Linked DNA regions of Caenorhabditis elegans. The protein of the gene in region 1 interacts with the protein of each later gene in a pairwise test. Each region holds a gene or a part of one and is shown on either strand. Other genes may lie near its edges.

What was found.
Region 2: the proteins of prde-1 (region 1) and Y53G8AM.8 interact in a two-hybrid assay, tested with the Caenorhabditis elegans proteins (one large-scale study listed by BioGRID).

Annotation. Positions count from the first base shown.
Region 1 is NC_003283.11:15,536,362-15,541,253, forward strand, and holds the start of prde-1 (piRNA biogenesis factor prde-1), read left to right. Parts: upstream 1-1,882; 5' UTR 1,883-1,896; coding exon 1,897-2,076; intron 2,077-2,146; coding exon 2,147-2,512; intron 2,513-3,505; coding exon 3,506-3,846; intron 3,847-4,892. Other genes in the region: F21A3.4 (Trichohyalin-like), read left to right, coding at 305-355, 410-640, 1,136-1,288, 1,341-1,625. UniProt on the Caenorhabditis elegans protein: Nuclear factor required for the production of piwi-interacting RNA (piRNA) precursors. Specifically required for piRNAs produced from loci associated with the Ruby motif. Promotes binding of the transcription factor snpc-4 at piRNA genomic clusters.
Region 2 is NC_003281.10:3,275,666-3,280,571, reverse strand, and holds the start of Y53G8AM.8 (HTH CENPB-type domain-containing protein), read left to right. Parts: upstream 1-1,861; 5' UTR 1,862-1,867; coding exon 1,868-1,990; intron 1,991-2,096; coding exon 2,097-2,270; intron 2,271-4,906.

The DNA.
Region 1 (4,892 bases):
GAAGTCAATGACGTGGTACTAATGTCGGTTTATTTTGTCGAATTTTTTTCGGATGAGAGGCATGACTCATAGGAGCAGAGCCAGAATTTTTCCAAAAAAAAACTTCTCCTCGGGGAGTACACGGATCAGAGAGCTTGAAAATCAAGTTTTATACTTTTATTAAATCAATTAATTACCAGCGTGAACATTCAAAATTTTGATTTTAAAATATTCCATAGAATTCAAATTTCTCGTGGCAAATGTGGAACCTATTCGACATTTGAATTTATTTCCGAATATTTTTCTCCGAAAAATCAATCGATAAATGGATATCAAAGTGATTCGCGAGAAGTTGACCCTGACAACGTCGATTACGGTGGGTTCCGCGCGAAATTTCTATTCGGAAAAAGTTCAAGTGATTTTTTTTCAGAGCGAATCGGTCGCCGAATACGAGCACGATGTCGACGAATGTTGTCGCCTTCTGGAGCACAAGCTCGAGCTGGAAATGGAGAAGAAGCTGCAACTGAGCAATCGGATCGATGTCGTTCAGTCGCAGGTCACCGAACTTTGGGATCGCGTGGATAAGGCGAGACGTCGCGAATCGGACATCTCGTGTCGCGTCACCGCCTGGGCTCAGCATTTGTCGGAGATGATGAATGAGGTATTACATAGTCGTCAAAAAATTATGTGGGTCTCACCACGCTGTGAACGAGGTACTGTAACTCGTGTCGATTTACGGGCACTAACCTATAAAAAGAACCACTAAATTTTGAGAATGGGTATTGCGCAACGTATCTGACGCGCAAAATATCCCGTAGCGAAAACTACAGTAATTCGTTAAATGACTACTGTAGCGCTGGTCCGATTCTGAAAATCAAAAAAAACTTCCGAATTTTCCGAGAAATGTTTCCGAAAATAAAAAAAAGCCCGTAAATCGACATCCGTGCTACAGTAGTCATTTAAAGAATTACTGTAGTTTTCGCTACGAGATACTTTGCCCGTCAGATATGTTGCATAATACGCATTCTCAGCATTTAGTGTTTTTGTAATAGCGACCCGTGAATTATCACAATGAAAAGTAACCTTTTGTCCGCGTGACGAGACCATGCGCGTAAGATATGGCGAAAACTAATATTATATGCAATTTTTTGTTCAGGTGAAGCTGAAAAAGGCTAAGATGGGCACAACGATGGAAATATCCGCGACACTTTCTGCTGAAATTCAAGAAAGTCTGGATTTACTCGCGGAAAAGCGAGTGATTGTTCAGAGAATGCGGGAGGAAATCGACTATCGTCGCCACTTGCACAAGGTTTTTATTAATAAATCTGAAAATGTTTAAAGCAATATTGAAACATTTTCAGCAACAACTCAAAGATTTGAAGCTGGATTGTGACAGAGAGGAGGAGAAATGCGAATATTGGAATGATAAAAGCGCTGAAATCGAAAAAGTTGTGGAAATGCTCAAAGAGCAACGCAAATCGCTTGGCGAACGTGTTGAAGAGGAGAAACGAATGGAGCAGGAGCAGAAGAAGATGCTGGAAGAGCTTGAAATGTTGTTGAAGAAAACTGGGAAGAAACGGCAGATTTTAGATGAAAACGCCAATTTGGTGGCTTCTTTCTCCAGTTTGACCGAGGAAAGCTCTTAATTTTTATGTTTTTTTCTTCAAAAGCATTTTTTTTGTGTGTTTTTTCCTCAAAATAAATCATTTTTAATTGTTTTAAAACATGTTTTTGAAATTAATCGTCAATAACGAAAGTTGCGTCAGCTACCACTGCTAGCGCGTTTCTCGTGTTGCTTGCGCTTTTCTCGATGGCAGCGAATTTTAAATTTAAATATTTAAATTTTCGTTTTTCCTGCCTAAATTTACTTGTTTTTCACCATTTTTCTTGTGAGTTTATCAACTTTTCAGGTAAAAAATGAACAGAAATCGCAAAGGACACGATTTAGAAAACATTGAGCATCGATTCACCGATGAGGACTTGGCAGGTCTGAAGGAGCAAAAGCTTTTTAATGGTAAATGGATTATTTTGGAGAAAAAGGAGAAACGAGGAGCCGCGTATTGTTATCTTGTGTGTGACAAGCCGTGCAAGAAATTTGTGAGTTATTAAAAAAAATTAAATTTAAAAAAAAAAAAAGTAAAAAAAAAATTATTATTCGAATTTTCAGGGGATTCTTTACTTGGAAATCGGCGAGGACAACGTGACAACCATCGCGAATCAAGTAGATTTCTATCATCAGCAATCGTCACTTGGCTATTCTCATCGATTTTCCGCTTTAATTGATGCCGGAATCATAAATAATCACGTCTTCTTCATGGTCGTCAGAATCCGTGCAGGACCCACTTTACATGATCTTTTAAAATGTCTGAGCAGTGATAAAATGTCCGTAACTACTGCCAGTTTCCTCGCTGTCGACATGATTTCTGCTATCGAAATTCTGTCAGCTTCCGGATGGGTTTTGAGAAATTTCGACTCGAAACAATGGATGTTGGATATCAAAACGAGGCAGTTTTATTTGGCCGATGCTACTGATGTACGGACTATGTTTCCGCTTTTAAAATAACAATTTCCACTAAAAAATTGCAAGAAAAATCGCGATTTTCAGCAACTTTTCACCTAGAAAACGCATTTTTTCGGAATTACACGAAAAAACCAATTTTCTTAAAAATTCACCTAAAAAATCTCGATTTCCAGCATTTTTTCACCTGAAAAGCGTATTTTCTTGGAATTGTACAAAAATCGCCGATTTTTAGCAATGTTTTCACATAAAAAACTTAATTTTTTGGATTTATACAACAAGAAACCCCGATTTTCAGTAATTTTCCTGAAATTCGCCCGAAAAATCTAAATTTTCAGCAATTTTCACCGAAAAAGCGTATTTTCTTCGTATTATACAAAAATCTGTGATTTTTAGCAATGTTTTCACATAAAAAACGTATTTTCTCGGTAAATCCACAAAAAACCAATTTTCAGTTATTTTTCTTGAAATTTGCCCGAAAAATCTCAATTTCCAGCAATTTTTACCTAATGGGGTTATTCAAGTAGTGTCGGAAAATTAAAAAGTGTAGAAAAATTACGTCACAACCTTATTCAAGTAGATAAAAACATGTATTTAAATACATTTGTGACGTCACAAATGTATTTAAATACATTTTGCTACATTACTTGAATAACCCCATAAAAATTTGAAATTTTTGGGAAAAATGAATAAAAGTCCCAGAATCGTCTGAAAATCAACATTGTTGGTTTCAAAAACTCCGCAAAACAGCGAGTTTCTTTAGAAAAATTATTAAAAACATATACTTCGTCAAAAAAAAACAATTTCTACTGAAAAAAACTAAAAATCGCAATTTTCAGTCGAAATTCGAGTTTATTTTTTCGATTTTATTTTTTTATTAATCAAATTTTTGATTTCTTGGAAGAAATTTCGGTTTCAGACTCTTAAAATAAACAATTTATGCATTTAAAACCCCAGATTCTCGTTAAAAATCGATTTTTCTCATACTAAAATTCCAAAAATTTGCAGATCACCGTCTCCTCTGACAAACGTCACCGTGCCATCGACGAGATTCATCTCAGAACAGCCGAATCTATAGATTTGCATTGGAAAACCGGAGATTTGATCTACGCGCCGCGCTCTTTTGTCGATCGAGATCAATCTCATCGAATGACTGAATTGGATATGATGGAAATGATGCTCTATGTGCTCTACGATTGGACACATGGAAAATTGCCGTGGAAATCGTCGAAATCCAGAGAAAGAATTATGGAAATGAAGGAATTGTTCATTGAAAATTTGCAAAAAGAGCCGGAAGAAACGAATAAAGTCGAGCAGCAAATTGATGTTGATGTTTGGTTCGATATCGCGTATGGATTTTGGAAAATTTAGCAAAAAAATGAGATTTTCATGGAAATTCATCCAAAAAATCGGGATTTTCAGTGATTTTTCTTCCTTTAAGAATGATTTTTGCTAATTACATTTTTAAAAAATCACGATTTTTAGCTATTTTTCATTTAAAAAATCATTTTCTTGCTAATTATTCAAAAAATTCAAATTTTCAGTGATTTTTCACCAAAAAAAGTAGAAAAAAGTAGATTTCTTGCAATTTACACAAAAAATCTCGATTGATAGCAATTTTCACCTAAACACAAAACAAATAATTATCCCAAAAATCCAGAATTTTAGCATTTTTCCTAAATACTAAAAATCATTTTTCTTGCAATTTTTATAAAAAATCGTCTTCTAATTTTTTTCACTCAAAAAATAAAATATTTTCCTGAAATTATCCCGAAAAGCCCCGATTTTCAGCTATTTTTCATCGAAAAAAAATCTAATTTTTATGAAAATTCACCCAAAAAACCCCGATTTTCAGCGATTTTTCACAAAAAAAGAATACAATTTTCTTCAAAATAACCCGAAAGGTTTCAATTTTCAGCATTTTTTTATGGAAAAAAACTAATTCACCCTTTTTTTTTTCACGAAAAATCAATTTTTTTAGAAATTCACCCAAAAATCCAGATTTTCAGCATTTGTTCTTCTAAAAAATATTTTTCTTGCAATTTACATAAAAAATCACTTTTTTTAAAAGCAATTTTTCACTTAAAAAAATAAAAATTTATTGTAAACCAGCCGTGGACCGCACCTTCGGCGCAGCCCCCGACTTCTGGGGCTGAAAACTAATTTTTCTGAAACTACCGTAATCATACAGTACTCCTACCGTACCACTATTGTACCACTACAGTACCCCGACTATATCCCTACACTAAGCCCAACTCACTATCCTCCAGAAGCCAAAACGTCACAGAATACAAAGACTACATAGACTACAAACTATGGACAAACGGAATAAGCGCTTTATATATAGTAAATGATTACCTGAAATATTTAGATTTTAAGCAATTTTTCCGAAAAA
Region 2 (4,906 bases), on another chromosome or scaffold:
TTTTTGCAGATGCTAAAACAATTTCCAAGTGAAAAAATTATGTATTCATAGGGCAAGCAGCGGTGAAAGTGGTCAATGCAATATGATGGGTTACGGGAATACAAAACCTAAACTATTTCTGAAACATGATACATATGCTGTTTAGATGCTAAAAGTACCTGATTATCATAACGAGACCGCTGAAAAAGTTTTGAGATTTCCAAAATTCAACTTTTTTGGTGAAAAAGTCGAGATTTTCGCACAAAAAGTTGAATTTTGAAAATCTCAAAACTTTTTCAGCGGTCTCGTTATGAAAATCAGGTAATTTCAGCATCTAAGCATCATATGTATCATGTTTCAGAAAAAGTTTGGGTTTTTTATTCCCGTAACCCATCATATTGCATTGACCACTTTCACCGCTGCTTGCCCACTGAATACATAATTTTTTTACTTGGAAATTGTTTTAGAATCTGCAAAAAGTATTTATTCATCAGTTTTAATAAGAAAACACGAGAAAAATCTGTGAAAAAAAAAGAAAACAGGCGGAAAACAAAGCAAGATAAATGGCCGCTGAAACTTGTCGGCCCCTCGGCCATGGCCTAGAAACCACTTTTCCTCGTCCCTCGTGAGGAAAAAGTTGCAGTGAATCAGTTGAGAACTCTGCCGCATTTTTTGTAGATCAACGTAGATCAGTCCAAAATGAGACACTCTTACACCACATATTCGCATGGTTAAGAACGTGCTGACGTCACTTTTTTTTGGGCAAAAAATTTCCGCATTTTTGTAGATCAAACCGTAATGGGACAGCCTGGCACCACGTGGAATCTCAAATTTTCTGAAAAATTTTTTTGGCGGGAATTAAAATATTTTGAGGACATCCGGTTACACAGCCAACGGGGTCAAAATCACTGTATATTACTCTATATCTCCTCTTTTCTCGTACTTTCTCAAATTCTTTCTCGAAAATTTCCCCCTATTTTCTCCTCGTGCATCATCAGAAAAATACAGAGAGCGACGATCCCCCCCCCCCCCCCCCATCAACGTTCCCAACAATTTATAAAATGTCTGTATCTCTGTATCTCTCAATCTCTCACTGTTTTTCTCTATGCCTCTCTAATATCTCTCTCCATGACAACCGTCTAACCATCTAAACTCTCTACTGTCTCTTACTGTCTGCGCCTCTCTCTTTCTCAGTGTTTCTTCTCTGTATCTCTCCGTCTCTCTAACGCACTTTCTCTATGTTTCTCTATTTTTCTCTATTTTTATGATTTTCTCCCCAATGAATTGTTGTTTTTTTAGGAGATTTTTGCAAAGAATTTCAGATATTACTGTATATTTTGGGATTTTTTTTCTAGAGAAATGCGAAAAATTGTGTGTTTAAATGTTTTTTGTACCCTAAATGTGTCCTAAATTCGGAAAAAAAATTCCAAAATTTACCGGTTTTTCGTGGAAAATGTGGATGGGAATTTGGGTTTTTGAAGGTTTTCTTTTTTTTTCGAAAAAGAAATCCAAAATTTTTATTTTTTTTTTGTGACTTTTTCACAAAAATTTGGAGGAAAGGGAGTTTTTTTTTTCAGAATTTTTTGAAATTCTAATAGAATTTTTGAAAACCGAAATTTTTTTGTTCAAAATTTGGGAAAATCTGTATAAAATTTTCTAATTTTTCAGAATTTTTAGCAGAAAAATGTTAAAAATTTCTAAATGTTTTTGAGGAAAAATTGATAAAAATTCGGATTTTCGAATATTTTTCTAAATTTCTAAAAAAAAATTTTCTTTAAATTTCGTTAAAAATCGATAAAAATTGCGATTTTTTTAAAATTTTGTTCTCTGCCAGTATATCATTTTTCCACATTAAACTCCCCCATAACTCCAATATTTCCAGAAAAAAATGTCTGAAAATTCGACGCCAAACCTTCGAAGATCCAACCGAACAATGGTACCAACAACTCCATTTACCATTGAAAATACACCTGTAGGTAGAGGAAATTCTGGTGCTAGAAGTCATAAGGAGGTAAAATTTGAAAATTTGACAAATTAATACATTTTTGAAATTATGAAAAAAAAAAAAAAATTTTCCAGATTTTCAAAATTTTTTTAAATTTCTTCCAAAATTTCAGCCAAGCGCAAAACGTAAAAAACCTACCAGTACCCCTACCGTAAGATGCGGTACCGTACCCCAAGAGCCATCCACTTCAGCAGCTACAGTAACCCAAAAACCAGCGGGATCCACCATGGCCACTGCAAACATCACGGAAACCAGGAGAATTGATATAAGCAGTTGTAGTGATCGGGTTAGTCAAAAAAAATCAATAAATTATCGATTTTTTGAAAAAAAAACATTGTAAAAATCGAAAAAAATTGTTTTTCAAGATTTCCAAAAACAAAATCTTAAAAATTCGGAAAACATTTTTTTAAACCTAACACGTGGTGTCATAGTGTCCCATTTCGGTTTGATCTACGTAGATCTACAAAAAAATGCGGGAGAAGAGACGCAGAGTTTTCAACTGATTTCGTATGGTTAAGAACGTGCTGACGTCACATATTTTTGGGGCAAAACATTCCCGCATTTTTTGTAGATCAATTCGTAATGGGACAGCCTGGCACCACGTGATCTAATAAATAAAAGTATTTGAAAAAACCTTCCAGACAGTTTTTTTTTTGAAAAAAAAATTTTTTCAGGAATTTTTTTCTAAAAAAAATCATTAAATTTCTTTAAAATTAAAAAAAAAAAAAAAAAACATTTTTTAACGTTCAAAATTCCGAGCTTTCCGAAATTATTTTTTTCAAATTTTTAAATAAATTTTAGTACAGTGCGTGCAACTTCTATAGCGCCCCCCTATTTTTTTGCGTTTCAGGCCATTCTAATTTTTTTCTTGAAAAACTGACAATGCCATTCGATTCCAAATGTCGAAAACCCCCTTTTCCAGAATTTTAATGAAAAAATCACGAAATCTGATGTAATTAGGTCAAAAAATCGTAAAAACAGCCGTGCAACTTCTATAGCGCCCCCTCAGAATTTTGAAAATTTTCCAACAAAACCCCATTTTTGGTCATTTCTAGAGACAACAAAATAATAAAACGGAGCCAATTTGATCCCGACATCCTACTGATTTACTGTCAGCAGAATATTATACGTAGAAACTCTTAGGATCCCGTAATTGTCCTGAAACTCTCCATTTTGCGTTAGAGGCCCGTTCTCGGCTCCCAGTGGTGGGATCGGCTCCAAAACTGACGAAAATGTTCTGATACACTCATGGACACATGTCTGAAAGATTTTTCACAAATTAACAGAGTTGTAGGTTGTGTGAAACTTGTATCAGATTGAACTATTCGCCCTTCAGTATCCAGAAGTGGACTGAAATCAATTAAAACAACAATATTTATTAACTGGATGAAGGATCAATACTTCGTGGGACCTCCCTTCTTGGCGATGACTTCGAAAACTCGATTGGACATTGAATTGACGAGATTCTTCATTTCGGCTGCGGAGATTTCTTTCCAAGCATCCTCAATACCAAGTTTTAGTGCAGCCACATTTGGATACTGTTTTCCATTAGCGTAGACAATTCTGACAAGCGATGCCCATAAGTTCTCGATTGGATTGAGATCCGGTGAACAAGCTGGCCACTTCAACAATTTGATCTTTTTGCTGTCGAGAAAAGCACGGGTTGAAGCGGCACTGTGAATACTCGCGTTGTCTTGTTGGAACATCCAGCCTTTCTTTGACGGATGTCGCATAAACTTGACAAGGTCTTGGTCCAAAACTTTCTGATAATCAACTGCATTCATCTTATGACTTGTAAATTGGATTGGCAGCTTTTTTTTCTCCGAAAACGCTGCCCACACCATTACCGATCCACCTCCAAAATTTCGCTTAGAAAAGATTAACGGATCCTTTCTCAGATCTCTCCAGTAGTATCGATTGCCATCTGGACCATCCAGGTTGAATTTCTTCTCGCCGGAGAAAACAATCTAAAAAACTCAACAGATTTTATCTAATTGTGAAATTGTTCAACATACCTTGGTCCATTCGGTTCCCATATTTTCTTTGGCAAAATCCAATCGCTTTATCATATGATTTGGAGTCATTGATGGAGCTTTCATCATTTTCTGGCGCGTGATCGATGGGTTTTTGTTGAGAGTATTGATAATGGTTCTTTTGGACGCTGTTAATTTCAGTTCCTTACGAATTTCGTTGGCTGATTTGAAAGAATTCGAAGCAATTTTATAGATGTTCCCTTCATCACGACTAGATAAAATTGTCTTCCGAGGAGCTCTCTTGGCTTGTCCATAACCAAGTGGATTGTTAAGGTAATTGTAAACACATTTGCGGGATCGGTTGATTTGACGAGCCATTTCATTTTTAGATACATTAAGACTTGCCATTACATCAAGCTTGGCTTGTTCTTCGACTGACAGCTGTGAACCTCGTGGCATTGCGAATAAAAGTAATGAACAGCATTTTTGGCATCCGATTGCCACTAATGGACACGTCACACGTTAAAAAAAAACAAATTTCAGCAATTGTTGAGTGTATCAGAACATTTTCGTCAGTTTTGGAGCCGATCCCACCACTGGGAGCCGAGAACGGGCCTCTAACGCAAAATGGAGAGTTTCAGGACTATTACGGGATCCTAAGAGTTTCTACGTATAATATTCTGCTGACAGTAAATCAGTAGGATGTCGGGATCAAATTGGCTCCGTTTTATTATTTTGTTGTCTCTAGAAATGACCAAAAATGGGGTTTTGTTGGAAAATTTTCAAAATTCTGAGGGGGCGCTATAGAAGTTGCACGGCTGTTTTTACGATTTTTTGACCTAATTACATCAGATTTCGTGATTTTTTCATTAAAATTCTGGAAAAGGGGTTTTCGACATTTGGAATCGAATGGCATTGTCAGTTTTTCAAGAAAAAAATTAGAATGGCC